Pelodiscus sinensis: one gene and its partners. The main gene of each other region encodes a partner of the protein of the gene in region 3 in a complex. Links are inferred from orthologs where the notes say so. Each region holds a gene or a part of one and is shown on either strand. Other genes may lie near its edges. The genes, in order: ECSIT, TMEM186, NDUFAF1 and ACAD9.

Region 1 (7,810 bases), on a different chromosome or scaffold from region 3:
TTGCCCTGGGGCACCGGGGGGGCTGCTCTGTTCCCCACAACCAACGTGGAAACCTCCAGCCTCATCCGCCGATGTGCCCAGCCCTGATTTCACTCACCCCACCGCCCTCCTCCACCAGGCCAGATACCACAGTGATGGGCACCACGTGAGCATGATGGCGTAGAGCTGAGCCCACTGTCCAGCGTGGCCTGCAGCGTCATCTCATTGTCCCCTCCCCCCGCATTCCCTGCTTCCACCTCTGGTCCAGCACTGCGGCCCTGATCCCACCAACGCCGATACGTGCTTCCGTTCACTGCCAGGTGCAGTCCTGGGTACAGTTAGGGGTTAGGGTCAGGGTTAGGGGTTAGGCATGAGGATTAGGGGTTAACGGTTAGGGTTAGGATTAGGGATTGCGTTAGGGCTAGGGGTTAGGGGTTGCATTGTGGGTTAGGGCTAGGGGTTAGGCATTAGGGTTAGGGGAGGGTTGGAGTCTAGGGGGAGGGTTGAGGGTTGGCGGCTAGAGGTAGGTAGGGTTGGGGGTTAGGGCTAAGGGTTAGGCATTAGGGTTAGGGGATGGAGTAGGGTTGGGGATTAGGATTAGGGGACGGAGAAAGATTAGGGGTAGGGCTGGGGTAGGCATTAGGGTTAGGGGAGAGGGAAGGGTTAGGGGTAGGTTTGGGGGTTGGGGGTTAGGCATTAGGGGTAGGGGAGGGAGAAGGGTTGGGGGTTAGAGGGTTGGGGGTAAGGCATTAGGGTTAGGGGAGGGGGAAGGGGTTGGGGGTTAGGGGTTGAGGTAAGGCGTTAGGGGAGAGGGAAGGGTTAGGGTTGGGGGTTGGGGGTTAAGCATTAGGGGTAGGGGAGGGAGAAGGGTTGGGGGTTGGGGGTTAGGCTCAGCATTGGCTGGCCTGGAAGGTCTTTGGGGCAGGAACGGCATCTTTGTTCTGTGCTGGTGGTCCTGGCCCTGGCCCTGCCCCCAGCCCTGCCAGTGCCCCTAATGCACCTAATAAATGGTCAGCGCCTGGCATCCTGGGCCATGCTCTGAGCCCAGCAGCCCTCCCCGATGCTGCCATTATCCCTGCTCCAGGCCTGAGCCTGCCACTGATCTGTGGCTCCAACCCCTAGGCCTGACTGCCTATGGCCCAGTCGGCGAGGAACAGTTGCATTGGTGGGGTGCCCAGCCAGTGGCGGTGCTGCAGTGGAGGCTAGGAGGGGGCTGTGGCTACCTGAGGTTTTGCAGAGCACTGGGTGGGGGGCGCTGGGTTTTCCAGGTCCCGCTTCGGTGGGCAGGGGCTGGGGCAGGTCCCTTCTCCACCGAGGCGCCTGCGGGCAGGCACCGCGTGGCTGGGCGAGGCGACAGGAACAGGCTCTCCAGTTAAATTGCCCCCTGCTTGCGCTGCCAAGGCCAAGCGGCCAAGGCTGGAGAACAAAGCGGCTGTGGGCCGGAGCCAGGCCAGGGTGCTGCAGGACAGCAGGGTCACAAAGGCTGCTGCCCCTTGGGCCAGGCCCTGCGGGGTGCAGCTGCCAGCACCAGATCTCTGGGTTCACGCTAGGCTGGGGGGGGGGGGGGCTCACACAGGCTGTCACGTGGCTGACTTCAAAATCTGGAATGAATGGGGGAGGGGAAATAGGCTAATGCCACGATCGGCCTAAGCGGGGGGCCGGACGCCAGGGCCCTATCCCAGCTCCGGGGGTGGGAGTGCGGGTTACAGGAGGGCACCACAGGGCGCAGGGAAGGGATTTCGGGGTGGCCCCGGGGCACAGGCGGGGGTGGGGGAGATGCTCCCATTCAGCCATTCAAGGTTTCAAACCCCCAGCGCTGTGGAGCATGTGGCTTAAATAATCCAGCTCCTGCCACCTTCTCCTCGCTGCGCCCGCCCCGCCCCGCCGCCGGGTTAATGATTGGCATTTGGGCAGGCCAGGAAGCAAAGTGGGCAACTGACAAAGTGGCAAAACTCGCAGCCGCTGTCCCAGCCCAACCCTGCCTGGGCTCAACAGCCAGCCGGGTGCAGCCCCCTGCCGCCGTGGGGTCTGCCGGGCGCATGCTGCAGCCCCATGGGAAAGGAGCCCTGATTTCATGGGGTCTTGCCCCAGTCTCCCCAATGCAGCATGACAATTTTGGGGAAAGGGGGTGGGGCCAGTCCTGCCCCCATCTCCTTCCCCCCAGGCAAGCCAGCAACCCCTGAAGGGAGCAGGATCTAGTGGTTAGTGTTGTGAGGGGGTCAGCTTTCCAGGGTTCTATTCCCTGAACCAACAGCTGCTCCCAGCCCCCACTCCTGGGGCACAGCCCCCACCCCCCTGGCTCCCTCTACATGGATCTGCCCCCCCCAACTCCACCTCCTGGGGCACAGACCACCCCAAGGATCTGGTTCCTCCACTCACGCCCTGGGGCACTGCTCCTATTGAACCCGTCAATCACTCCCCCCCCCCCCCCCGCAAGACACAGCTTCCCCATGGATCTGCCCCCCTCGGACTCTCCCCCACTTGCCCCCCCGGGCACGGGCCCCATGGATCTGCCCCGAAATGCTTCCCCCAGGTCACAGCCCCCCCGGCTCCGTGTCCCCCTCAAGTCACAGCTCCCCCATGGATCTGCCCCCCTCGGACTCTCCCCCACTTGCCCCCCCGGGCACGGGCCCCATGGATCTGCCCCGAATTGCTTCCCCCAGGTCACAGCCCCCCCGGCTCCGTGTCCCCCCCAAGTCACAGCCCGCCCAGGGATCTCCACCCCCAGGCTCGCACGATCCACTCACCCGGGACGCTGCTGCCCCCGGCCGAGGGGCGCCGGCTGCTCGGAACCCCGGAGCACCCGCGGCCACCCAGGCGGCGGTTCCGCGGAGCTGCCACATCCCAGCCCAGAGCCGCCCCACGCCCAGCTGCTGGCTCCGACAGAGGGGCTGGCCAGCGCCCCCCGCCTCCACCAATCCCGGCCCAGGACACGCCCCTTCTGGGGCTAGCCACGCCCCCGCCGCGGGAGCCGGCCAGGTGGCAGGTTCGAAGGTGAGGGGCGGGTCCGCTCCCCGCGGGCTCGCACTGTCTGGGGAGGGCAGTGGGGTGTAGCAGTTAGATGAGGGGGGGCTGGGAGCCAGACACCGAGAGGGGTGGGGGTGGGGCTAAGGACCAGGGTGCCTGGGGTCTAGCTCCAGGATGGGGGGACCCCGGGGCTGTCCCCTGAACTCGCAGCTGCTCTGTGGTTAAAGCAGGTGGTTGTGAGGCAAACTTCTGGGTCTATTCTTGGCGCTGAGAGGGGCATGGGGTCTAGTGGTTAGGGCCAGCACCGCCTGGGTTTCCATTCTCACACTGCCCCCTCGTGCGACCACAAACAGGCCCCAGCCCCTCCTTGTGCCCCAGTTTCTCCATCTGCACAATGGGGACAATACACACATCTCCGGGCCATGCGCGTGCAGTGCTTTAAAGAGGGAGCCGCTGCTTCCCTCGGTTGCCCAGGCAGCGTCCCCGTAGTCCCTCGCTGATGGAGGCCTTACAAAGCCCTGCACAAAGGGATTGCACAATCCAGCTCCTTCTGGGGTGGAGTCTTTATCCTGGGATCGCTCATGCAGCCCAGAGGTACAGTCACCCAGGGGGTGGGACCCAGCGGCTGTTCGTGCAGAGATACCCAGTGCTGAGATGCAGCCAGCTCTGGGCAGGGGCAGGGCAGGTGTTTAGCACAGCAACAGGGGCCTCAGCTTGGGGGAGGGAGGGAGGATGGAGCCAAGCAGCCCCGAAGGAGAGAACAGGACTGGGGGGGAAATCAAGCAGGAACATGATGGTCCTCTGTGTTGTTAATGAAGCTGGAGTTGGAGGCCTCCTCAGCAGTCTCCAAACCCTGCCCCTGTCCCTTCTGTGGGGGAGGGGAATCCAGGGTCGGAGGGGTGGGGGGGGGCAAAGGCAGGGCCGCATCCTGAACTGACCTCAGTTCCGGGCTCTGCTATAGAATCCCTGAGTAATGTCTGTGCCTCAGTTTGCCCATCTGTGAAATGATCGGACTTCACAGTGATCATCACTGTGGGGGCAGGGACTGTCTATACAGCACCTGACACAATGGGGCCTGATCTGGGGGATGGAGGTGAAGGAACTTAAATAATAACAGAGTCTTGTGCCTGGCTGTGGGTTCTGTCAAACCTCCCTGCAGGTCGGTCTCCCTCCCCCAGAGTCTGGATGAGAGATGCCTGGAGGGTGAGGTGGGGTGGAGTGGGGTGGGGAGAGAGGATTTGCACCTGGCCCTACCTGAGTGACTCAGGGAACCTGCCAGTCCAGGCACATCTGAGGCTGAATGGCCCTGGCTAGGCAGCTCCCAGGCTCGGATTCATCCTCACCCCAGCCTGGGAAACCAACGTTTAAACACAGCATAAGAACAGTCACACTGGGTCAGAGCCCAGTGTCCTGTCTGCCCACAGTGTGGATCCCAGGTGCCCCAGAGGGAGGGATCACACCAGGGAATTATCCCCCTCCGCTGTCACCCATTTCCAGACAAACAGAGGCTAGGGACACCACCCCTACCCATCTCTATTGTGAGCCCTGGTAAAGTCCTGGCCTTCACGTCCTCAGGCGAGGAGTTCCACAGGTTGACTGTGCGCTGAGTGAAGAAAAACTTCCTTTGGTTTGTTTTCAACCTGCTGCCCATTCACTTCACTTGGTGGCCCCGCCGTCTAGTGTGATGGGAACAAGCAAATGGCGTTTCCTCTCCGCGGGGGAGCCGGGAGCAGGAGGCCGGAGGCCGGGCTCCCCCCGCCGCTGGGAGTGAGGGGACCCAGGGGTCCGGGCTCCCTGCGGTGGGGGAGTAGGACCCACGTGCATGACTCTATCCCAGCCCGGGGCGTGGCTGATCGGACGGGGGAGGAGCCTGGGAGGGGGCGGGGTTTAGAAGCGCCACGTGTGCTTGGCCCCGCCCCCTGACCCGGCAGGGATTGGAGGGGGCCGCGGAGACGGCGGCGCGGTGAGGAGCCCGGGTCGGACACGGGGCGCGCGTGGACGGGAACCAAGCGGGGGGGGGCATGGCCCGGGCGTGGGGGGATGTGTGGGGCGGGGGGGAGGTTTGGGGGGGGCGGGGGGCATGGCCCGGGCGTGGGGGGATGTGTGGGGCGGGGGGGAGGTTTGGGGGGGGCGGGGGGCATGGCCCGGGCGTGGGGGGATGTGTGGGGTGGGGGGGAGGTTTGGGGGGGCGGGGGGCATGGCCCGGGCGTGGGGGGATGTGTGGGGCGGGGAGGAGGTTTGGGGGGGCGGGGGGCATGGCCCGGGCATGGGGGGATGTGTGGGGTGGGGAGGAGGGTTCAGGGGCTGGGGGCATGGCCCGGGCATGGGGGGATGTGTGGGGTGGGGAGGAGGGTTCAGGGGCTGGGGGCATGGCCCGGGCATGGGGGGATGTGTGGGGCGGGGAGGAGGGTTCAGGGGCTGGGGGCATGGCCCGGGCGTGGGGGGATGTGTGGGGTGGGGAGGAGGGTTCAGGGGCTGGGACATGCCTGTGTGGTGCTGGGGGGCACCTGGGCAGTAAACGTGGGCAGGGATGGGGATGTTGGGGGGATGGGTGGTCTCCCCACGGGGGATAAATGGGAAGCTAGGTAAGGGGGGAGGGGAGGGAGACAGAAGCGGCGTGTGTGGACTCCTATGGTGGCCATGAGTGGGGACAGCCTGAACAGGTGTTAGTCCCCCCCCCCCCCCCCCCCCCGATTTCCTGACCCTTTGCGCTGCTTCAATCTCTACATCACCTCTCTCTGTGTCAAGCAGACCCTGGCCGCCCAGCATGGCTGCCCCTTCCCCATGACACTGACTCTCCCAGCTGCAGCGGTGGCCCCACCCTAGCTGGCCCCTGCCCCGTGTCAGTGGGACAAACACCCCACCATGAACTGTGTGCGGAAGCTGCTCCTGGCCCGGGAGCTCTCTGCCAGACCAGGTGTCCTGCGGCAGCTCGCTCCGGGGCTGGATCTCCTGCGGCTGCAGGGAAGCAGCTGTGCCCAGGTACCAGGCGTCCCTCGGCAGGCCAGGGTGCTGGGCGCCGGGGGAGACGCGTTCTGCATGGGCGCTGCCCTGAGCAGCTGCCAGTCCAAAGCAATCTGGCTCAGGCGGACGCCTCGGGCAGCTTTGTAAACCTCTCTGCCCCCTTGTTGTTGGGTTGCCCCAACCTTGCTGCCCAGAGGCTGGCGGGAAATGATCGTGGGAAGGGCTGAGCGCCCACTGCAGCTGGGGGAGCGAAAATGAGGTAGGGGGCGGGAGGGGGAAGCGGGAAGCAGAGAAGGGGGGGCAGCGGTACCTGTCCATACAAGTGACATCACCATGGATCGGTGCAGTGGACAGGAGAAGCCAGGGTCACTGTACATGGGCTGCTAAGCAGCCGGCGAGTGGTACCGGTCGCTGCAGCCGGCCTGGAACCCAGGATCCAGCGCCCGAGAGCCAAGGGGACGGTGCTGCAGCCAGCGTGGTGCCGATCTCAGGCCTGACCCCAGCCAGAGGACTCTAAGCCCCAGGTAAAACGACAGCTGCTACAGGCCTTGTTTGCCTCCGCTTCTCTGCTAGCGCTTCTGGCCGGTGCCTGTGCGGAGCCATTCCAAGTTCACCCCCGCAGTCAAGGGGGACCAGGAGAAAGATGGAGAGTCCCGTGACGGCTCCCTGGTGCCCTTGGAGGAGCTGTTTGATCGGGCTTGCAAGGGGGAGCGGAACAAAGCCGCCTTCACGCGCGCGGTGGAACTCTTCTGCCAGAGGGACGTCCGGCGGCGAGGTCACATCGAGTTCATCTACGCGGCCCTCCAGAAGATGCCGCAGTTTGGGGTGGAGCGGGAGCTCGACGTCTACAACAAGATCCTGGACGTGTTCCCCAAGGAAGTGTTTGTGCCCCGCAATTTTATCCAGCGGATGTTCAACCACTACCCGAGGCAGCAGGAATGTGGGATCCACGTCTTGGAGCAAATGGAGAACTATGGTAGGGATGGGGATGGGCAGCAGTGTGGGCGACTGGGCTGGGCTGGGAGTCAGAGGCGGGTGAGCGATGGAGACGGCACATTCACTGGCTCTACCGCTGTCTCCACGAGTCGGCACGGGGCATGTTTGTCCCTCTATGGCTGGGAGGTAAAATCCCACTTGTTTAGTTGACTGGTTAACCGGGGGTGGGGGCTGTTGGCAATTTTGGGGAAAGGGGGTGGGGCCACGAGGGAGGCTTCCCCACTCCCCACAGCACTGTCTCTCCTGCCCCCCCTCTCCTTCCCCCCAGGCAACCCAGCAACCCCCGGGAGGGAGCACGATCTAGTGGTTAGTGTGTGTGTGTGTGTGTGTGGGGGGGGGAGGGTCAGCCTTCCAGGGTTCTATTCCCTGAACCAACAGCTGCTCCCAACACCCGCTCCTGGGACACACACCCCGGCTCCCCCTACATGGATCTGTCCACCTCCTGGGGCACAGACCACCCCATGGATCTGGTTCCCCCACTCACCCCCTGGGACACCATCCCTACAGAACCCCCTGTATCACTCCCCCCTGCAAGGCACAGCTCCCCCATGGATCTGCCCCCCTGGCCTCCCCCCCGGGCCCCATGGATCTGCCCCCAGTTGCTCCCCCCAGGTCTATTTGGGCTGGGAATTGGCAGCCTGGGGAGGGGAGAGGAAGGTGGCTGCTGGCTCCCAGCCTGCCAGCAGCCCTCCTCTCTCCCCCTGCCGGATGCGAACCTGCTGACTCCCAGCTCCTGAGCCCTCGCGGGTTTGGCGTCAGCAGCCTTGCACGGAGGGGAGAGAGGGTCGCCCGTGTGCATCCCTACTCCGTGGCGAGGGCGGGTGAATGTGCCATCTCCACCTCGTCTCCCTCCCAACGTACGCAGGCATCATGCCCGACAACCAGACGAAGTTCCTGCTGCTCC
Region 2 (7,670 bases), on a different chromosome or scaffold from region 3:
CTTCATAAGGAATAAAAATAAGAGGTATCCCAATGAGCACCCAATGTTCTGTCCATCTAGATTTTTATATTACAATTTGTTTTATGGAGAATAAACAATTCCCTGTTGAGCAACGTTGCATAATCTTTACCCATGATCCTTCACTTGCTCCAATAGTGGAGCTTGTCTTTTTCTGTATGGGATTGCTGAACAATAGCATACATCTCTCTCAATTATACAGTATGTACTCAAACACAATCCATTCATTTGTAACATGACTGGACAGTGTCTTCCCTACTGAAGATCAATACCCCAAAGCAGGAATACTCTCTTCCCTAAGTTATGCATGCACATATACCTACCTTTTCTTTGGCAGTTTAATCTTCGCAATGTAACTCAGACAGTAGTTGATTAGATCTTGGAGCAAGTCCTCACCCAGATGACTCTGAATGCTCTAAACATACAAAAAGACATATCAACTATAGATCCAGAATTCTGAAAGTAACTTATTGACAATACAGGTTTTAGATTCTCGTGTATAGCAGATGCCAGAAAACCAGGTCTTAAGTACGTGGTTCTCAGTGTATGTGCAGTACTGGTACTGTAGGCTCCCGTTCTCTACCTTAATTATAAAATGCTATGCTGCACAACTGACCACTTCTCACGAATGTTCCCTCTAATCCATGTGTGGAATAATTTTTGTTTTTTGTACTACCAATAGAAACACATGTTACCGACTGTGGGCACTTTGAGCGATCTGCACTCAGCTTACACGAACACTATCTCTCAGTATAACATGCTCCTCCATGCCCCTACTTCACACTGTGGGTTAGAAAATGCATGCTGAAATGGAAAGGAGTAGATAGGGGCTAGTACAGCTTAATTAAGTGCGGGAAACAGTTGCCAAATAAGTTGGGAACCGGTACCTTAAGATATGGGTCAGGTCCTGAGCTATTTTATTTTCCATTCTCCAATAGCTAAATTGAGGCACTGAAGATTATCACAATATTAGATTTAATCACCAGTATTTTCTCAGCCTCTTAAATTATTTCTAGCAGCTTATAAAAATACTCTACTCAATCAAGGCCACCCTATGTGCTAGCTCCTAAGCAGCAGTGGGGGTACATTCCACTGGTGGTCAAGGAAAGGAGATGGCTTTAAGCCACCCTTTCCACTTCCCAAGTCTCAGGCCTGTGAAGGACCAGCTATAATTTAGAGTAGCCTCAAAGGTGTTCTAAATGAGGCCCAATTGTTATAGAAATTCCATGAGTGGGCATCACTAGAGGTCTCCAGCCATGACCCCCATGCCAGAGAGTAGGAAAGATGTCACTCAGGAATTTTACGTGCTGGAAAAATTCTCTAGTCAAATCTACCAGGTTTTGAGCAGGGCAAACCAGGAGGTCTGAGGTAAGGATCTGGCTCTACATCTTGCGTCAATCTATAGATTTAAGAGAGGAGATGGACTGTCAATTGTACAAATAAAATTCTATATATAAAGCAATAATTTCAGACTATTAAATGATCACTGCAGCTGCAAAACAAGACAGGCAATTCTCCATGCAGAATTATGAGAATAAAAATCTTGTTTGAAAGATTTTAGCCTTACAATAATCAATTAGTTTATAAGATCTATTAAACATACCTGCTTGCACAACAACACCCCATCTTTGTATGAGACTAGACCATTTTCTGGAAAGATGTAGTCAAACTTTTCAACAACTAAAAACACAAACAAAAAATGCTGCAGTTTATATCTTGTCTTTCCTTCATTGTATGCAAACCTTTTCAGTACTAAATACATCAAAATATAATAATTTTAGAATAATAATAATTTTAGAATATTAAGCAGAAGCTATACACTTGTAATGTCTGATGAAAAACTTAAAGGACCTAATTCTGCAATTTCTATTTGTTCCTCCTTCTGAAGCCACTGGGATCTTACACCATGAGAATAGCAAGTAGTTAAGTTACATACATTTAGCATGAAGGATCTGACTCTATCCTTAGCACATTTAGTTGTGCTTTACTATTGTAAACCAGGGGTGGGCAAACTCAGGTGGAGGGGCGAGGGAAGTGCTGAAGTCAGGCTGTCTCCCTGCCCCTGTACCTTGTCTCTGCAGAGCAGGGGTAGAATAACACACTCAATCAGCAGAGCTGCTCCATTCTAAAGCGTGATTCAGAGGAGAGCAGAAGGGGGAAGAGAGACAAGACAGATTTCCTTAAAGAGACAGAGCGTGGCTGCTCAGAAATTTAGCGAGCACACATGCTCTGTGTCACTGTCACACACACCCAGTCTGTGCCACAATCTGTCACACAGTCTCTCTCACACAAAATGTCTCTTTCTGTAGCCCCACCTCAACCCCTTCCACCCAAGACTCCACCGCTTCCAGGGGCCCCTGGAACCAGCCTATCACCACATACCAAAATTTATGAAGTGCCCCTCCTGAAAAAATTATTGCCGACCCCTGTTGTAAATTGCCATGGATCCAGTCACCATTGCAAAACCTTGGAACAACAATCTGGACATAAAAATCAATAAGAGGACAAAGAAAAGTTTACTATTTGAGGGAGATTATTTTAATGCAATTCTACTTGATAAAAATGTGTGTGTTTTAAACTGAATTACAGGATCAAGTCTCCTTTGAAATATGTAAGTAGAATTAGGAGACAAAAATATGGTTCCAAAATGATAAATCCAAATGGCTTCTTCTGTGCCACGGACTATGTTTCAATAGGAAAATGTACAATAGGGATGTAAGTGACTAGTTGACTACCTGATAAGCATAGGCTTATCAGGTAGTCGAGTCACGACTTGCTCCTCTTCCCTTGCTGCCTCTGCAGCAAGGGAAGGAGGGAAACAGGAGCCAGTGCTGAAGAGAGGCAGAGGCACAGCAGGGGAAACAGCAGAGTCCCTTCCTGCGGGTCCCGACTGCTGTGCCTCTCCCTTTGAAATGTTCAAGGGCTATGGGTGGCTCTTGCACATTTCAAAGGGACAGGTGCAGCACTCGGGACCCCACATGAGCGGGGACTGATTCGGTCTTTGTTCGCACAGGTTCTCCACTGCACCTCTGCCTTTGAAATGCAACAGGTTAGCAAGTGCCCCCCCTTACAGGCTAATCGATGGAAATTATATCCACTACCTGATTAGCTGATTAATCGGAATGTTACATTCCTAATGTACAATACTACTATTTATTGTTCTACAAGTTGTATAATACGTCTACTGAAACTAAAACTCAGCCTTGGGATTCAAGTAAAAAAAAAACCACTATAGGATCAGTTGTGGCATATTCTAAATATTCTGCTTCAAGAAAAGCTGTGAAATCACATCCTTATTTGAACATCTGCAATAATTGTAATACTGCTGGAGATGATTTGGGGGTATCTGGCTCTTGCTAACTAAAAATCAGATGACTTCGGAAGGCCATTTCCAGGCCAAGTAAAACCATGATTATATAAAATGTTTGTCAGTATATATTGGGAATGCATAATTGTGAATTATGAAAGGCAATTAATACTGATCTTTCACATTAAAAACCTTACACAGAGTTAAAAAAGGGAAAGAACCAGATCTCAAAGGCACTATTTAATAAAAATCAGCTCTTGCGTGGATGAGCACATTAGATAAACTATGTAATGAGATACAAACAACTCCATTTTATAAAGATTGTTAAAATATATCTTAACTAACATTTCATGAAATCGGCGTAATATAGTAAAATCAGAGAAACATATTCAGAATAAGGAAGTTTGCATTTAATGAAAAATGACGTGACCAACTCTGGGAGAAAGGGATTGTATTTACCCATCAGAACTTCCTCATAAGGAATTCGTTTCAACTTGGATTGCTACATCTTTTTTTTTCTTACCATCATCTCCCAGCTGCTCTTGAATTTTTTCAAAGTCTGAACCACCTACAACTCCAACTTTCACCTTCTTTCGTAGCTTCTGCAGAAATTCTGCCATTTCTGCTGTGATTTTCTAGATTAAATAAACAGTTTATATTTTAAGGTAGTTAACTACTTTTACCATGAGTACCAGTTGAATTAAAATACAGTGCAGTGGGAGAAAGGTCACTGAGAACTAAACTCTGCAGGGTTTTAAGAAGCGATATAAGAAAAATTTTAAAAATGTCTATGAGAAAATATTCCCGGAAGGCAAAATCCCTTAAACAACAAGGAAGTCACTATAGCCTCCGGCTCGCTAATGGAGTGTTCTCCCTACTGCTAAACGTTAAAAACCCGCAGTGGCTTGTGATGAGCCTTCGGGGACAAGCCCCCCACGGAGCCAGCCCCTCCCCACCCGGAGCCCAGGGGCATCAGTAAGTCGGCGCAACGCCCGTGCGCGAGGGAGCGGCTCGCGCAGATCACGCAGGTTAACAGGTGGCAACGCTGCTCCTTGAGCCCGAGAACCAGGGAAGTTCCAGGTCCCCCCCAAACGCCAGCAACAGGCTCCGCCCCCAGCTCCCTCAACGGCCAGCGGGCACCCCCTGCACGCGACCGGCCGCAGCTCCCCAGAGCCCCTGCGTGGGGACACAGCCCGGCGGCTTCGCGGGGCTCTCTGCTCTCCGTGCCCGGCGGCCGGGCAGCAACCGCCCGCTCTGGCAGCCCAGGGTCCCTCCCGCCGCAACGCGCTCCACCCGCTCGCCCCCGGCCCTGGGCCCACCTGCCGGGGCGCGGTCAGGGTCCCGTCCACGTCGAAGAGGCAGAGGACGCTGCTGCCCGGCGCCGCCATGCTGCGGATGAATGAGAGGGCGCCTCACTCTCTTCCGGGTCTGCGCGACCCAGCCGCGGGGGATGCCGGGAGCCCAACAGCTCGACTGAAAGGCACCTGCGGGCCCCTCCCACGGTGCAACGCAGCAGCTCCGACGTACGCGGCCCGCGAGCGCCGCGCAGGCGCGGTGGCACTTGGGTCCTGGATCCACGTCTCTGTCTCGGGATGGTAAGGCCGGGCCTAGCTGGGCGCGCGGCTCGTGCCACGGCGGGTGGGGGCGGCACCCGGAGGCGGGGCTCGGCGCTGTACAGCGCGCGCGGGCGGGCAGGAGGGCGCCGCGCTTCCCTGGCCGCGGTGTTAGTGCTGGGGGCGCCTCAGGCCCGGGCCGGCGCTCGGCGCGCGAGGGCTCCCCGTTGCCTTGGGGCGAGGTTGGGCTGCGGCTTCAGGCGGGCTGGGCCCCGCGCTGGGCGGGGCTGCCGGTGCGAGGTGTGAAGACCGGGCATGAAACCTTCTCTTGTAGGCCGCGGTCTTCAAAACCAGCACTCGCCTCCGCTCCGCGCTGCCTCCCTGTGGGCGCGCCTTGCCGCGGGAGCCTTCGGCCAGACTGTGGCAGAGAGGAGACAGGTGCCGCCCCCGTTGGCTTGGGACCCCTGTGTTCTTACAGGCTCCGCGGTGGCGAGCGGGCAATCCTCGGGCGGGGCTGGCACAGTACAGATGTGCCGGTAGCTTAACCCCCACCAACCGAGGCTCGGAAAAGCCTGCGAGCCAGGACACGGAACAGTTCAAACTGGTCTACAAATTCCCAGGAATTAAATATTGTCGAATATTTTCAAGAATGAAGTTGTTACAGACTGCTCTGACCGTAGTCACCCTCCCTCCAGTCTATCACCTCTATCTGCAGGAACAAGTTTCTCAGGATTTTCTGTTGTATGTCACTGGCATTGCTTGCTTTGCTGCTGCAATGCTGTATGGTACAAGTTATTTTTTCAGACGAATGATTGGACTGATATACTTAAATGATGTTGGCACTATGGTAAAAGTGGCACATTTGACATTTTGGGGTCAAAAGAAAGTCATTTATTGTCCAATTGAAACTGTGATGCCCTTGGGTGACACTGGAGATGCCAAGAACGAAGTACTGCTTCAGTTTAAACAGCATAATAGTACACACATTTTATATTTTACTCTAAAGTTTGGCCATATTGTAGATAAACAGAGGTTTGACCAAATATTTGGAGGATATTACTAATACATTTTCCATTGATCTTCATGCTGAATTCAGAGCATAGTTTAATAGATGTATAAATACTCAAATCCGGAATATTACCATCCTTTTTTCGTACAAATCCTCAGCCAGCATGCACACCTGTGTTTATACAAAGGGCATACCTTGATGTAGTAACCACTAGACAGAAGTTTCTGTGTAGTAATTTCAGATGAAAGCTGAATCTCATTGCACACACACAACTATTATGTAAATAAAGCTAGTATAATACTCATGTCTGGTAACTTGCACTTAAAATTGGTTCACCTGAATGTGCAGTTGAGCTAGCAGGTAGTGGGGTATTTTTTTATGGTGCTTTCAGACTAGGATAGCAGCTAAAAATAATTTATTGGTAAAACTGAGCAAATGTAACTTGCTATCAGAGAGAACCATAGAAACCACAGCAGCATTTTTACTATCTCTTGTGAGACTTCACTTTCAATTTGTCAAATTTTGATCAAGAAAATTTTAATTTCTATTAACATGTAAAGTTAGTAAGTTATTGAAATTGCAAATTATTCCTGTAGAACTGCAAAGTAAGGATTATACTAGTGCAAGAAATGGTCATGAGGTGGAACCGCTTGCTCACTTGTGACCTTGGCTAGCAGTAACCGGGAACTATGCCTCTCACTTTTTGTAGCAATTCTTCTGTCAGATCAAAACTTAGTGTCAGTGGGATTCAGAGTAAGATTTGTCCAGCATTCAGCAATGGCTTGTGGCATTTTAACTTGTGTACATAGAGAAAAGGATAAATTCTGAACAGAAGTATATTACAGATTTGCAGAAGCTTGAAAAACATTTTCTTACCCTGAGCTACAGGCACTATCTAAGGTTATTGTAAATAAGAATTTTAAGCATTTTCAGTGCTTATGATTGATTTGGATTTTTTTTTCAATTTAACAAATTGAAACTCATTCATTTTCTTAGGCATAATATTTTAATATTTGGGTTGCAAAGACAGCAGGGAAATGGTTATTTTTAAACAGCAACTGTGCCCACAAAGGAACTAAATGGCACATCAGTTCAAAATATCCTTCCATTGACCGGACTTAGTTTTGATTGTGTACTGTAGATTGTACTTTTCACAAATTAAAAAAAAGTTGTATGAAGTGCTAACTGACTTCAGTTCTCACGTTGCTTATTGCTGTAGAATGACATGTAATGCAGCAGATTTATAAAGCACAGTATGCATTTTAATAAGTGTAATGGTTACCTTTATTATCACATGATGACATACAATGTCAACACAAGCAAATCTTATTGTACCGAGGGAGTTGTTTAAAGCTGCACCAGTTCATATAGCATTATGAAAGTTCACAGGAGAAAATCTTGCCTAACACCTCTCCAGCTATAGAATGTTCTGATTACAGAAGTAGTATGGCTGCATCTAAACTGGCAAGATTTTGCGCAAAAGTGGCTACTTTTGCGCAAAATCTTGCCACCTATCTACACTGGCTGCGAGTATTTGTGCAAGAACACTGACTTTGTAATGTACAAAATCAGAGGTTCTTGCGCAAACACTCCGATGCTCCCGCTCAGGGATAAGCCCTCTTGCGCAAGTATTCTTGCGCAAGAGGGCCAGCATAGGCAGCCAGCTTAATTTCTTGCTCAAGAAAGCCTGATGGCTAAAATGGCCATTGGAGCTTTCTTGCACAAGAGAGCATCTACATTGGCACGGATGCTTTTATGCAAAAGCAACTGTGCCAGTGTAGAC
Region 3 (7,752 bases):
AGTCTCCAGGCAATGTTCTTTCTTTATCCTTTTACCAAAACGCCAAGCAACAAAAGTTCATTTACATTTCTGTTTTATTTCCCAACACATCAAAAGCTTCTCTAATGAAGTTACCACTTAATGACCCAAGTACATGCATCCACGTCACATCTGAATACTTAAGAATATTTAGCCAAGATACCCAAAGGGATGAACTTCCCTACATGATTTATAATATATACTGTACAGAATTTATAAGTTTTACATATCACAACACCAGACACTATTAAAGAATAATTAAAAAGATGGAAAGTCTTTTGAACAAAGTCACCTCCACAGAGTACAAGAAATAGAGTCTAACTTCCATGTTCTCTTTGAAGTTCTCACACACTTAAATTAATGCCAGGCATCATATTTATCTTTCAAGTTCCTCTAGGGATGTCAAACATTATCATTAGTATTTCTGGACTCCTAACCTCAAGTAATCCCCCACCAATTGAGCCCCCCAGATTCAATCACTGAAGCTAAGTGGAAACTAATGAATTTGTATTAATAATTCCCACAGTAGCCAATCTGGACCCTCTACAGGCATACTGTGCTGGACGGTCAGTAGAGAGAAGGCACCTGGCTGTATTTATCTCCCCCTAATTGGTCTCCTAACATATGAAATATAATTAGAAAATTAACTGTTCCTTTAAGTATATTCCACTTGCTCTTGCCGTTTTTGGTATATCTATAGGTAAAGGCCACATGATCCCTAAATCTGACAAACATAAACAACTGAGTGACATTCCTCCTATAGAGACAGCACCAGGGACTACAGGTCCAATGGGTGATGGAGCAGCTAACTCCCTCCAACTTTTAACCACATAAGTGACCCTCAGACCGTCACTTTCCAAACAAAACACGCTAACACCTTTCCTTAGCAAGTAAAACTAGCGGTGACAGAGAGGACTTTACAAGTGATCTCGTCTCAGAGCCTGAACAACAACACCGCCGCCGCATACATTTACTCTCTGCCCCACATCCTGGTCCAAATCGATGCCAAGGTTTCCATGGATTTGTATGATTACCCCCATGGGATTAGCACCATAATTGACACCTGTGCCCAGGGCTTTAGCGGGTCTGTTATTACCCCCGCCGCCCCAGGTGCCGGGCTGTTTTCTACCAGCACCCGCGGGCTGCTTGTGCGTTACGCCCGGGGGTCTCTCCCCCGGGCCCGGAAGCCGATCAGGACCCCATCCCCGCACGGGGAGGCGGGTCCGAGGCCTTCCCCGGCAGGGCGGGGCGAGCTCCGGCTGGCCCCGGCGGGGGCACAGTGGCGCCCAGCCGTGTGCTCCGAGCAGGGAGCCCAGGCCCCAGCCCCGGCCTCCCGCTCAGCTCCGCACCTGATCCAGGTTCTCCTCGCTGCCGCTGTCCTCGGTGTCGGAGTCGATGAGGACCCGGCCTTTCCGCTTCTTCACCATGGCGGAGCCGGCCCCGCCGCGCTGAGGGGCCCGCGGACTGTGCGGCACTGAGAGCGGCTCGGCCTCCCCCGCGCCGCCCGAGCGCCCGGGACACAAAGGGCACCGAGCATGCGCCCCGCGTCGCCCCGCCCTCCGGGGCGGAGCCTCCGCAGCCACTAGCCGAGGGGGCGGGGCCCGGGCTGGGTGCACGTGTCCGTACGGGGCTGCTGGCTGGGACGCGGTATCACCCGTAGCTGGCGCCGTGGGATCGTAGGGGCCGAGCCGTCTGCCTCGGGTCCCCCGGGGTAACTGCGGCCGACAGGGATTGCGGAGAAATACATTCTCCTTCCTTCTGCAGGAAGGGCGAGCTGGTGTCTCAGGGCAGCGCTCTGAGCGCAGACACGTTCACTGCCCTTCCCTACCCCACTGAGGGGCCCGGTGTCTGGGTAGAGCTTTCATACAGCAACCGGGGAGAGGAAACGTTAAAACCACAGGAAAATGTGATCGTGACGTCGCGAAAGCGCGTGCGGGGGGAGGAGGTGGGGCAAACGACAAAGGTGTATGTATATATAATACTCGAAATTACTTTGAACCGAGGTTTGAAATTGACTAGATAGCATAGTAAGCACTGACACCTAGGGTATAAAGCCCCATTGACCTCCTGAGGGATGCAAGAATTATGTGACAGAGCCTATTTCGGGATTAGGGCTCAGGGGCTGGAATTTGTTTCCGCTGAAATATGGAATTCAGCGATCTGTCTCCCATTGGCATGATTAGTGCAGGAGTGAGCAGTCCCGAAATGAGGGCAACATGTATATTGTTGTTTTTAAATTATAACTGACTCCCTTTGGATGAGTTCAGTCATAAAAGCGGGTTTGCAGCACACTTAGTAAAATCACATTTTAATATGCTGCAGCTAACCGTGAACATACACAGATCAAAACAACAAGATAGCCATACATATGGGGCTACAACTTGAAGTCCTCACTGAGATTATAGCTAGGCGAATTTCCCATGGGCTTCAGAGAGTTTTGACTGAGTGAGGTGCTCAGCTATCATACTATGATAATGGGTACCATATCAGAAATAAGACAGAATTCAAGATTTGCCCCTGGACAATAGACTATACCCTTCTGTTCTAAAAGCAGAGGTCACCTTCACTTGATCTAAAATAGACTCTCACCTAAGTGTCAGCAGCTTTAGGATTTACATATTTCTTCAGACTCCTTGACACTAGAGTTAGAAAAGTACAGATAAATGCACATCATGTTTCTGACATCTTTAGAGAGCAGATATACAGCAGTACCAACCAATCATGCATTACTGTGCCCTGTTGTAATTAGTGTAATTGGCAAACCCGATTATCTGAAGGACTAATTTGACATTTCTAAGGCTGCAAATAGAGATTTAAAATAGTCACTAATATAATTTAACAATTTAATTGTGTTCCATTGTTTACCTGCAATGATTTGAGGACATTTTTGTGGCAAGTTGCCAGGCCGGGAGAGAAGAAACCATTTTTTTTCAAACCTTAATATTCTCTGAACAAAGTCTATTTACTTGTCCATTACATGTGGAGATTGTGGAAAGAAAAACTTGGTTTTGAGTGTGCTGTAAAAATTATTTATTATTCTGAACGGGGTGTTGATGCTAAAATTTAAGAGCAACAATTTAAATGACAACATAGTAAACTATTTCACTACTGTTCATCAGAAATCTGTGGATAGAACACCTTCACTTTTCTCTCCAGACTGGCTCCTGAGGTCACCCCTGATTCTTCAAGAGGCTCTGCACAAACACAAGTTCCACTTGTGTGGAGCTCATTGTCTCTGTAGTTGTAAAGACATTTTCTTAGTTGTATATAGGCTTAGCTAAGGAAGGACTAATGGTTGTTATTAAGAATCATTATAGTTAAGATTGTAAATCAATATATAGCCTAAGGTGAACCCTTTAAATTTCACTGACATTTAAATAATAGCTTGGAAAGCCAGGAACAGTAAGGTAATGTTATAAAGTCCCAAACAACAATTATTGGGAAGTACCAAAGACATAGTACTCCAAACAATGTTAACTCTGACTGTCTTTATTTTGGACACTTTCTTTGAAATGTTAATTTGCCTGTACTGAGTATCAGGCAGTGTTAACCACTCATATGCACTGACATATCTTATGAAAAATTTCAGCCGAAGATCTCAAAACACTTTGCAAGGATTAAAGATTTAACCTCCACTACCTGGCTCTTTGTGGGGTAGGAAACATTTAAGAAAGAAAAACCTGAAGTACACAAGTGACTTGTTCAAGATCACATTGGAGATAGTGGTGCTGATTGGGACAAAAAAACAGGAATGCTGATCCCCAAACCCTTATGTAAAGCCAACAGGAGGAACAGAACCTGGGCTCTTGGGAGCTTAGTGCATGATCCCCTATACCACTTGAACTAAAAGTTAGCTGGCTGTTATCTAAGGCTGTAGAGAAAACTGATTTGTTCTCTCTCAGAGAGTATGTGTACCCAGTAGTGTTATTTTGGAATAACTGATGTTATTCTGAAATAACAGTGTGCGTCTACACTAGAAGTCTTTATTTCGATATAATGTCAAGCTGGAGGACTTCTTACTCTGACTCGTGGTAACCCTCATTTCATGAGGAGTAAGGGAAGTTGAAGGAAGAGTGTACTTGCTTTGACTTCCTGCTGTGTAGACAATGCTATTTCAACTTAAGCTTCACAATTGACATAGCTGAAGTTGCATAGCTTAACTTGACTTTAACTCTACTGTGTAGCGGTACCCTAAGTGCCTAGGGTTATTAGCTGGTTTCACAAAAAATACCAACCTCCCCTCCCCCCAACAAAAAGCACTGGGAAAAAAGTCTGTTTTTAGATGTCCAGTAGTTTTGTTATCGGACAAAAGGTACAAATACCAGGTTGTCTGGTTCAATACCGGCCACCTGGCAACCCTGTTAGTGCCACTATTAGACAGAACACCACACCCAAAAGGTGTCTGGGTTACATACTTCCCCTAGGGAAGCAGATTCTGGGCTTCAGAGGCACAACTGAAATCCCAGACCAGCCCCTATTTGTAACAGGCAAAACTAAACCTATGATCTCTAGAATTTAGTGCATAAGCAGGCTCCCAGCTAAGGCTGTAGCAAAAACTCATTCTCTCTCTGTAAGTGTTCTAAGTGCCACTGGCTAGGACAATAGCCCACACCTACACTTGCTCCAACCAGTAGGAAATACTGCTTCCTGGCAAAGGGAGCTGTATTTTGAATGGACACGGACGAGCATGGGACCAAGCAGCAGTCTAAGGCGGGAATCCGCCGGGTGTAACTGTGAGCATCGAGGCTTTGTAGCGCCTCAGGGCCAGGCGGAACCTTTGAGACACGGCCGGAGTTCCCCTGACGGCGGCTGAATGGGGGCGGACCCAGTCGCTAAGCGGTTGCGGTGAGGGGAAGCCTGCGGTGTCCGCTGTCAGGTGAGACGGAGGGCGGGGGTCCCAGGACAGGCTCGCTCGGGAGCAGCGGGCGGCCAAAGGGAGCGGGGTTGGTCTGGGGGGGAGGCTCCTGGCTCAGGCCTCGGCCGTCTCCCCTTTGCAGCGACCCAGCGCCCGCAGGCTGGCGTCCTCCAGCGAGCTGGCGTGGGGCCGGGCGGGCGCTCGCCCTTGCTCGCAGTCGTGACACGGTGCAGAGCCGCGTTCAGGCAGGCCTGGGAGCGATGGGGCCGTTGGACGCTCACGGGTAAATGGCGGAGCCGCTTGCTGCTGTGTCGTGCCGCCCACCCACATAGGGGCAGAGTTTAAAACGCATATGAGAGGGGAGCGGGGTGGGAGCGCTTGTGCGTGAAAGGGGGAGGTGAATGCGGGGGGATTATGCGGCTGGGGGTGCACTTGTTTATAGTCGCCAAATGCCGCGTCCCTACACGCTTCTGCAGATTCGGAAGATCTCCCGCTCTCCAGAGGTCTCTGACGGCACCTAGAGACTTTGGGCAGCGGGTGCCTGCCCGTACAAACTTTGAAGGTAACCCGCAAAGAAGATTAAATTGGACTTTTGTTCTGATTGACTTCTCTGTGATCTATATAGGGAAGGACAAAACTTTGTTATTTTGTAAATAGTATTTTCACCCTTCCCCTTCGGTGCTTGTGTTTTACTTTGGAAATGTGGGTCCTGCTTCCACTGAAAATTCTATTGTGACCAGGAAACTGGGGAAATGGCGGCATCACAAAAGTCAAAAGAGTAAAAACCGAGGCCTCGAGACAAAGAGTTTTTAGTCAAATTGCTTAAAATTCTCTTGTTTTAACATCAGTGATATTTTGGATAAAGAGTAAAAGAGCCCTCCATTGATCTATGTGCTGAACTCAGATTTTAATTACAAAAACTTCTGCAAATCATTTCTACTTAACTGACTCGAAGTTTTATAGCAGTCTTTATGAATAGTCTGCCTCTTAGATTCATCTTTACATGCTTTTGCACAAGTGGATATCACTCAGAACTGCCATGTATTTATAGAATGAATAGTATACGTGCCCATCCTCCCTCTCTAAAGCCTGTGGGGGACCAGGATAAATCATTGATAAAGCCTGTGGGGGACCAGGATAAATTATTAATCTTCACTGCATTTCAGAAGGGCTACATAACATTGCTAGGACTGACAGTTCTCTAAGTTGGTAGCTGTATTTTATTTTAGGGACGATCTTTACTTCATGAGGGCTTTCCTTACCAGCCATTCTTGGATTGAACAGAAATGTGGGAATTCCTTGTCCTGAAAATGATTTGAGGCTATCACATGCATCTCTTGGTCTGTCAAGAAGCAAACATGGGAAATGAGGATAATGATAATGCTACAATCTATTTCTCCACTGTCCCACAAGTTATGTGCTGGATAAGTAACACTTTTGTCTTGTCTTGACACGCGTGTTCTTCTGCAGTGCTCTCTAATTTTTGGTTTGTTACTGGCTGCCTGGACATATAATTGATTAGGTGGCAGACTCCTGTGGGACAACTAGCAACAATTATTGTGGACTAGCACAATGCTAGTGCTGAAGTTGACAGTAGGGTCAAATGGCAAATTAGTTAGAACTGATCTAGTTTCCTGATGCAGTCAGTGCCACATGCACAATGCTTCTGTACTTAAGCTCATTGTTCCTATGTCACTGCTTCTGATACTGCAAGGAAAGGAGAAGTAAAAAGGGAAAAGAGGGAAAATTGAGAAGGACTGGGGAATAAGCAAATACAGAAGATTGGAAATAAGAGTCCTAATTATGTTCCACACAGTTTTTTAAACTTTGAATTATATGGAACATCCATGCCCAGAAGAAACTCTGTGGTAGGGAGGTTGGACTTGTAATTTAAGAATTCCCAAGGGGAAAGAACAAGTACAACCATCATGTGGATCTTATTGGCACTTTGATAATATTTATCTTGAAATCTTCCTGTCTTAGAATCTCAGAGGAAATAATATATTTTAAAATTGTCGGGCCAATTGCTATAGCAAGTGCAATCCAGTCTAGTTTACTTATATTAGTTAGCCATTATAATTTCAGATATGGGGCCTTGAACATTAGGGATATGAAATAGAAGGAAAAGAATGTGTGTGTTAGTGGGAGGAGAGTCTAAAAAGATTACAGAGAACATCCTTTTTTCTTCTAAAGGAAAGATTGTCATACTAGGAGTTGGGGGACAGAGGCTCAGGTTTTGGGATGCAATGTGCCATCTTAAATACTCAGACAATTTAACTCTTCCTGGCACTTCTATGGTGCTAGTCCAAATTAGGGATGTAAATGACTAGTTCAGTCACTACTCGCTTTCCCCCGTATCAGAGGCAGCAAGGGGGGAGTAGGAGCTGGTGTTGGGGGATGGGGGATGGCTTAAAATCCAGTTCCTCCCAGCACCGTCTCTCTACTGCAGAGGGGTGGAGTGGGGAAGGCAGAAACACAGCAGTCCAGGACCCGATGCAATCCAGGACTGCTCAGTCCCAGTTCGGGCTGGGTCCCAGACCTACCTCCACTGTCGCTCTGAATTTTAAATGTAATAGGAGCTGGGCAGCCTGCATGCCCGACTTACTACATTTAAACTGCAGAGCTGCAGAGGAAGTAGCTCAGGCTCGCACTTCCTCTTATGGATGAATCGTGCTGTCGATACAAATTGTATCCAAACACTATTAGTCAGTTACCTGCTTCTTAACATCCTTAGTCCAAATGTGGGTCTGTTAGGGATGGAGGTGGCTGAGTGATGCTTAATAATGGTAGGTAGACTGAGGGAGGTATAGCTCAGTGGTTTGAGCATTGGCCTGCTAAACCCAGTTGTGAGTTCAATCCTGGAGGGGGCTATTTAGGGA
Region 4 (7,389 bases), on a different chromosome or scaffold from region 3:
TTCTTCTATTTCACTTTTCTCTTTGCACAAACCACAAAAAGAGAAATTGACAATGCAAGGGGACACAGTCACTGTATACACAAGTCACGATAAATGCCCAAAAGTTTTTTTATTTTAATTATAGTAATAAGAAGCCATTTATGTAGAAAAAAAGATAATAACCATACCTTCTTCATTGAAGAACTTTTCTACTGGTCCTACAAACTGGTTGATTTCTTCTAATTCTTCATTAGAAATCTCTGGATAAGGGAAAACTTCCTCCTAAAATGTCAGTTTTTTAATATGATTAAGTTTATTTAAAATAAAGAGCAGGTTCAAGAAAAAACACATGGCTTTTAGATGATGATGTCTTAAAAAAAAAAAACCCAAAAGAGCAGAAAATGTTTACAGGAATTCAGATAGTCTCAAGTGAGCAAACTTATTTACAACTTTCAGTAAGTGAAAGATACTTGTTCTGTATGGAAAACAGTATTTTTCAATTATATTGCATGCTGAAACAAACCAGAAACAGCATCTGAAAATGAAAAACTGGAATGAAGAAAAAAAATTTGATATGTAAGGAAGTGCGCCAACAGGTGAAGTGAGCTATGAACAAGTGCACTGCTTTCATCCCCAAAGGCACACAACTATTAACAAACAATCAAAAGTTTAACATGTGCCTCTGTTGCTGCCTGTCCAACAGTTCACTGAAATGTGGAACTGAAAGTGACCATACAAAAATCCTCCTTTACATACATCGGAGAGTAATTTATTTTTTATTTATATATAAATAATAATTTAAAAAAATCCTTACACAACTTGTTTCCTAACAATTGAAACGAACAAAAATTGAAGTGCAAAGCATGGTTGTACACCCAAATGTGATAACTCAGCAGTACAGAATCCAGGATCTTTGGACCTTGCACAATCTCCATAGAATACAGGATAACTTCTATAGGAAAAAAGTCTCAGAGGGATAGTTGTGTTAGTCTGTAATTAAAAAAAAAAAACAATGAATGGTCCTGTAGAAGCTTAGACACTAACCAAAAAAATAAAAGATCATATCATCAGATGGAGTGGGTTGTGCCCACAAAAGCTCATCATACTATACTATCTATATTTCTGGTTTGTCTCTAAGCTGCTACTGGACCATTCATTGTTTAAGTTTCTATAGGAAAGAAACTCAAATTTCAGAATGATTTCAACCTGTAAAAAGATACTGCTCTACTATTTGCTAAGCATCTAAAACAGGAGAAGGGAACCTCCAGTCTACCCAAGTCGCAAAATGGAATCCTCTCCTGCACCCCACCACCTCCCTCTGAGACTCTGCATCTAGACCCCAACCCTCTACTCCAGATTGGAACCCCCTTCTATACGCTATGTCCTGCCCACAACACAACCTTCTGCTCCAGCCCCGAGCCCCACTCTCACACCCTGAGCCCCTTGTTTTTGACCCCAGGCCTCCATGGGGCTGGAGCTATGAGAACCTGATCACCCTGCTGCAGTGGGAAGACCCAAGTCTCCCCCCACCCCTCCATGTTGATTTTTTCTGTGGGTCACTGGCCTCTGACAGGAAAAAGATCCTCCAGCCCTGCTCTAAACTATTCTTGACACTATAAATTGCAGACTATAAACAAAAGAATAGAGTCCCAAATTTCATAATATTACAATTTACATGACATAATAAAAGCATATGGAATATTTCACTGGTAAAAGGCGACCTCCACTTTGCTTTTTTTTTTTCTTTTTACATATAAACTCATTCCTTATAAATCCCATTACAGAACTGCTTTTTTTTATGAAGGACACAGATGAAGAAAGGCAGGTAGGATGGCAAATTAAACTGGGGAGAAAGTTCCATATAAAAGGGGAAGCCCCAGTCAATTGCACAGAGGTGCCAATCTAAGGAAACTATGAACACTGTAGCACAGGTGAAGAAAAAAATATGGTAACAGATTTAAGACCAGGGCACAGATATAAACCAGGATGAAATTGTGAAAGACTCTGAATTCAGACGGAACGAATTGGCGTCCCTGTGGACGACCTCAGGGATTAGGGTTGCCAGACGGTTTCAACAAAAATACTGGACGCACCTGACATTAAATCGCAACGTGCATGACACGTGATTTAGAAGATACGTTTCTATTTTCCCAATTTGTTTCCCAGACGAGGAAGCTCAAATACTGGAGTGTCGGGTTCAAAGCCAGGCACCTGGCAGCCCTGGCAGCGACCCAGAGGCGGGAAAGACACGTGCAGATGGACGGAGGCGGCAGCTCAGTGGATCCCCCCCCCCCCCCCCATGTGTGTGTAAACACGGAAGAGATTCAGCGGTGACATGTTTGTCCTCCCATAAACGCGTTTTAAGAGCCCGCCCACCAAGCAGCAGCTTCGCTCCGGAGCGTCCTGTAGCGGGGCGGGGAGGGGAGGGGAGCGCCCCAGAGGCCTGGCCCAGGCAGTGCGGGGAGGGGAGGGGAGGGGAGCGCCCCAGCGGCCTGGCCCAGGCAGTGCGGGGAGGGGAGGGGAGGGGAGCGCCCCAGAGGCCTGGCCCAGGCAGTGCGGGGAGGGGAGGGGAGGGGAGCGCCCCAGCGGCCTGGCCCAGGCAGTGCGGGGAGGGGAGGGGAGGGGAGCGCCCCAGAGGCCTGGCCCAGGCAGTGCGGGGAGGGGAGGGGAGGGGAGCGCCCCAGCGGCCTGGCCCAGGCAGTGCGGGGAGGGGAGGGGAGGGGAGCGCCCCAGCGGCCTGGCCCAGGCAGTGCGGGGAGGGGAGGGAGGCGAGGCCCGGGGGAGGCTCCCCAGAGGCTGGGCACACACGGGGGGGGGGGAGGGGCGGAAGTCCGGCCTCACCTTCCAGAGCTTCCCGAGGAAAAGCTCCTTGGCGTAGGCGCAGCGGGGGCCGCCAGTGCGCAGCTGCCGAGCCCCGGCGGGGAAGGCGGCGCGCGCCGCCCGCAGCAGGAGGCTGAGGCCGCTCATGTCCGGACGGTGCTGAGACACCCCCCCCCCGCCGCGGCCCGGCGCCCACAAACGTCGTCCGGGGCGCACGCTGATGACGTGTCCGGCGGGTCACCTGACCACAGGCGGCCGACGGAGCCTGAAGCGGGTCTCCTGCGCCAAACGGCTCCCTGCTGAGCCCATCCGCGCCCCCTGCTGGCCGCCGCCTGCCTGTCCCTTAGCTGCCTTCTGTGCCCGTCCCGCCCTGAGCCTGGGCACAGCTGCCCTGGGCCTGCTCTCTGCAGCCCCACCACCCCTCTGGCCCCTGTGGCTCTGCCCCGGGGTGATCAGATCCCAGGGCTGTGTCGACACTGGGCCACTTATTCCGGAAAATCAGCCGCTTTTCCGGAATAAGCTGCGAGCTGTCTGCACTGGCTGCTTGAATTTCCGGAAAAGCAACGACGCTCTACTGTACAAAATCAGCCGCTATTCCGGAAAAACTATTCTGCTCCCGCTCGGGCATAAGTCCTTATTCCAGAGCACTGTTCCGGAAAAGGGCCAGTGTAGACAGCCCAGTAGTCTTTTCCAGAAAAAAGCCCCGATCGCGAAAATGGCGATCGGGGCTCTTTTCCGGAAAAGCGCGTCTACATTGGCCACAGACGCTTTTCCGGAAAAAGGGCTTTTCCAGAAAAGCAGCCTGCCAATGTAGACGCTCCTTTTCCGGAAAAACTGAAAACGGAATAGTATTCCGTTTTAAGCAGTTCCGGAAATTCATGCCAGTGTAGACACAGCCCAGTTGTCTTGTCTCGCTCTGCCTTTCCCCAGTGCTGCTTAGGGCTGGTTGCCCGATGGTTTCAATGAAAGTACAGGACACACTTAATGACATCGCAATCTACATGACATCTTATTTAGAAAATACCAGACGTTTATATTTTCTCAATTTGTTTCCCAAACAGAAAGCTCAAATATTGGACTGTCCAGTTCAAAACTAGACACCTGACAACCCTAGGTATGCCCTGTTCAAAGTACCCCTACTAGGCTGCTTGGTCCCTCTTCCTCCAGAACTAGAGCAAAGATAAACACTCACTGCATAGCAGCCCTTTTATACAGCCCAGCTGGGCTGTGATTGGCTGCATCAAACCTCCTTCCAGTTGGCTTCTAAGACAGCCCTCTCCCACAGTTTTTTTTAAAATCCCTTATAAACCAGAACAGAGCAACTGCCCCATTTCAGTCCCATACCTGAAATGCTGATCTTTTTCTGGACGTGCAGCCCCAAACTGAAAATGGAAGTTTATATGCTCCAGCCCTGCGTTTGCCACAACTCTCAGTTTTGGCACCCCATTTAAGGTCACTCTATCCTATAATCTTGATGTCATTTTGCACTGGCTTTCAGGAAAAAAGATACAACATTCTCTCTTTTTTTGCTTAAGTAGTCTCTCCTCACCTTAAAGTAATTATTAAGAAGAAAAAGTGATGTGATAGATGTTAGAAAACTTTTAACTTGAAATCTATGACCTCCATCACTTTATCTCACTTCTCTTTAAACTCTGTTCTAGTTCTAGCCTTCACAGCCTCCTGCAGCAAGGAGTTCCACAGGTTGACTCTTTGCTTTGTGAAGAACAACTTTCTGTTACTAGTTTGAAGCCTGCTACCCATTCCTTTCCTTTGGTGTCCTCTAGTCCTTCTTTATGGGAACTAATGAAGAACTTTTCTTGATGCACCCTCTCCACCCCACTCATGCGTTTATAGACCTCTACCCTATCCCCCCTCAGTCTCCTCTTTTCTAAATTGAAAAGTCCCAGTCTCTTTAGCCTCTCTTCATATGGGACCTGTTCCAAACCTCTGATCATTTTAGTTGCCCTCCCCTCTCCTACCCTCTCTCTTCCCCTCTCCCACCTCCTTTTCCCAGTCTTCCTGAGTTTTGTTCAATAAAGAGAGATTCTATTTTTGACCACACGTGTCCTTTATTTTGTACATCAGGAAGGGGGGCTAAGGAAGGGTAAGTGGAAGGAGGTGAGGGAGGAATGGGGTACGAGCCCCCGATGGGGAGGACTGGGCTGGCTCTGCGGGCTTCTGGGGGTGGAAGCTCTCCTGCAGCCCCCCAATTGCCCCCTCTCCCCAGATGGCTACCTGCGGCAAGTGCAGCCAGGCTGATGGCCGAGTGCTGTGATGTGCCCAGTGTGGGTACTCCGGGCAATCCAAGCCAGGACTGCTTTGCAAGTCCGGGGTGGGGGTCGGGTCCCTTTAAGCACAGCCCTTGGCTAGCCTGAGGCAGCAGCTCCACGCTCTAAGTCCTCATCTGATGCCCTGCCGGCACTGCTTCCGGCCATCCTTAACCCCGGTTCAGGGTCCACTTAATGTGGACATGCTAGTTCGAATTAGCAAAACGCTAATTCGAACTAGTTTTTAGTCTGGATCCGTTAGTTCGAATTAGCTTAGTTCGAATTAACTAATTCGAACTAAGTTAGTTCGAATTAGCGCCGTAGTGTAGACATACCCTACGAGTCTATGAGAATTGACAACTTTTTTTCTCCATTTTTTCCTCTTCTCTTTCCGTCCCCATCCCCTCTTTTTTTGCTATTTATTTGCAACCCGGACTCCTTTACTCCATTCATCTGAAGAAGTGGGTTGTACCCACAAAAGCTCATGATGCCATCTACAATTTTTGTTAGTCTCTAAGGCTATGTCTAGACTGCAGGCTTCTTTTGGAAGAAGCTTTTCTGGAAGAGATCTTCCGAAAAAAATTCTTCCGAAGGAAAGCATCCACATTGCCAAAGCGCATCGAAAAAGTGATCTGCTTTTCGAAAGATAACAAGCATACTGAATGGACGCTCTCTCATGTGTAACCTGTGATTACTATGGGAGGAATGGCCAGCAGGAAGCCTGTGTTTTTTCCTCTTTCATCTTCTGGTGAAAGAACTCCCTCTTCCCCGTCCACACATGCTTTTTTCTGAATGATCTCTTTCGGAAAAAGGTTTCTTCCTCGTAGAAAGAGGTTTACCAATGTTGGAAAAAACCCTCAGTTCTTTCAATTTTTTTTTGAAAAAATGTGATTGCAGTATGGACATAATTGAAGTTTTTTCAGAAAATCTGCGATTTTTCTGAAAAAACTCTGTAGTGTAGACATATCCCAAGGTGCTGCAGGGCTATTGGCTGTTTTTTAAGTTTTTTCAGGGTAAGGGATTTCACTTTCTATAGCTATTCTTTTTTACATAAATATGAAGATAATACAGGATTTAGGGTCCCGGTAAGAATCTGAAGTGCTGTAGCTTTCTGGGAATGGCTCATTTCAGCCAAGGTCAACCCACCTGTGCTTATATGCACCAGCCACAAATCAGAAAAGTATCATTATTCTGGACAACACTTCAGCAACTTAAAGGCACTCCTGAACCTGGCCCTGAATTTGTCATTGCTTGAAGAGAAGCTGGTGTTTTCAAATGTTTGTGTTTTGAACAATTCTGTTACATTCGCAGTAATAAAGCAACAAGACACCACTATGGTAGAATTTCCACACATAAGGAAGGGAAGCACATAAGGAAGGAGCTTTGTGGCAAAGCAGGTGTCTTGAAAACCTTGGGGTGAAAGCTGGACTTCTACTCACTACCATTGAGTCAAGATTTCATCCATGCTAGTGATTTCACACTGGCGTAAGTCAGGAGTAACCTCACTGAAGGCAGTGGAATGACATAGGTATAAAACTTGTGTAAACAAGATCAAAACCAAGCCATTGCTTTTAAGTCTGTAGTGGTAGATAAGGCTAAAGTAAGAAAGAAAAGGAGAGGACAGAAAGGAGAATGGAAGATCATTGTTAGTACAGAAAAATAAGTGATATCAACATTATAAGGAAATGACACCATAACTCATCAACTAAGGCCAGTATTCAGTAGCCAGTGTTATTTATTTGTTTAGTGTGGAGTTGAATGTTTTAAGAACATATGTGAAGTTTGCAAGCAGTTTTTTTTTAATTTAGTTTAGAGAAAGTAAAATTTCAATTCAAGCCATAGCAACTTCAAACAATCCACTTGTTAAAAGATGCAGGCTAAAAGCTATCCGGATCTTAGTGTTCCTGAGGCCTGGAGTATACTCTGTCATTTACAAATATATATGAGATGGAAAATAACAGGGAAATATTGTATAAGCTATGTTTTCTTCTTTATCATTCCTATCTGCTTTTGGCATATGAGATAGGAAAGTGGGGTTGATAGGCCATAGCCAATGTGTTTCAGAGTAACAGTGCATGTCTAGGTAACGGTGCGCAAAACCAGTGTTACTGGGTAACAGTGCATGTCTGGGTAATGGTGCATGTAACCAGATTGTTACTGGGTAATAGTGCATGTCTGTGTTGCTGGGTAATGGTGCATTACGTCTTCATTCAAAGCTACTTTATAATAGGAATGAATTAATTACCTGATTCTTCTGGTCTGTTGTGATTGAAGCAGCTGCATATTGATTGCTCGTGCTGTTGCTTCAGATAAAAAGCGTTTT

Evidence for each region.
Region 1: NDUFAF1 (region 3) and ECSIT share a complex: the UniProt entries of both Homo sapiens proteins name them as parts of the mitochondrial complex. The link is inferred for Pelodiscus sinensis from reciprocal best matches to the Homo sapiens genes NDUFAF1 and ECSIT.
Region 2: NDUFAF1 (region 3) and TMEM186 share a complex: the UniProt entries of both Homo sapiens proteins name them as parts of the mitochondrial complex. The link is inferred for Pelodiscus sinensis from reciprocal best matches to the Homo sapiens genes NDUFAF1 and TMEM186.
Region 4: NDUFAF1 (region 3) and ACAD9 share a complex: the UniProt entries of both Homo sapiens proteins name them as parts of the mitochondrial complex. The link is inferred for Pelodiscus sinensis from reciprocal best matches to the Homo sapiens genes NDUFAF1 and ACAD9.

The regions. Positions count from the first base shown.
Region 1 is NC_134729.1:12,699,249-12,707,058, reverse strand, and holds the start of ECSIT (evolutionarily conserved signaling intermediate in Toll pathway, mitochondrial), read left to right. Parts: upstream 1-4,804; 5' UTR 4,805-4,909; intron 4,910-5,488; exon of another isoform or gene 5,489-5,609; intron 5,610-5,697; 5' UTR 5,698-5,811; coding exon 5,812-5,928; intron 5,929-6,483; coding exon 6,484-6,886; intron 6,887-7,771; coding exon 7,772-7,810.
Region 2 is NC_134726.1:10,777,271-10,784,940, reverse strand, and holds TMEM186 (transmembrane protein 186), read left to right. Parts: upstream 1-4,789; 5' UTR 4,790-4,917; coding exon 4,918-4,920; intron 4,921-5,212; coding exon 5,213-5,941; 3' UTR 5,942-7,156; downstream 7,157-7,670. Other genes in the region: PMM2 (phosphomannomutase 2), read right to left, coding at 342-433, 1,622-1,698, 3,849-3,960, 4,645-4,713. UniProt on the Homo sapiens protein: As part of the MCIA complex, required for efficient assembly of the mitochondrial complex I.
Region 3 is NC_134714.1:64,361,781-64,369,532, reverse strand, and holds the start of NDUFAF1 (complex I intermediate-associated protein 30, mitochondrial), read left to right. Parts: upstream 1-4,737; 5' UTR 4,738-4,894; intron 4,895-4,902; exon of another isoform or gene 4,903-5,156; intron 5,157-5,349; exon of another isoform or gene 5,350-5,435; intron 5,436-7,752. Other genes in the region: RNA polymerase-associated protein RTF1 homolog, read right to left, coding at 1,368-1,445. UniProt on the Homo sapiens protein: As part of the MCIA complex, involved in the assembly of the mitochondrial complex I.
Region 4 is NC_134721.1:48,473,685-48,481,073, forward strand, and holds the start of ACAD9 (complex I assembly factor ACAD9, mitochondrial), read right to left. Parts: upstream 3,006-7,389; 5' UTR 2,947-3,005; coding exon 2,821-2,946; intron 262-2,820; coding exon 168-261; intron 1-167. UniProt on the Homo sapiens protein: As part of the MCIA complex, primarily participates in the assembly of the mitochondrial complex I and therefore plays a role in oxidative phosphorylation.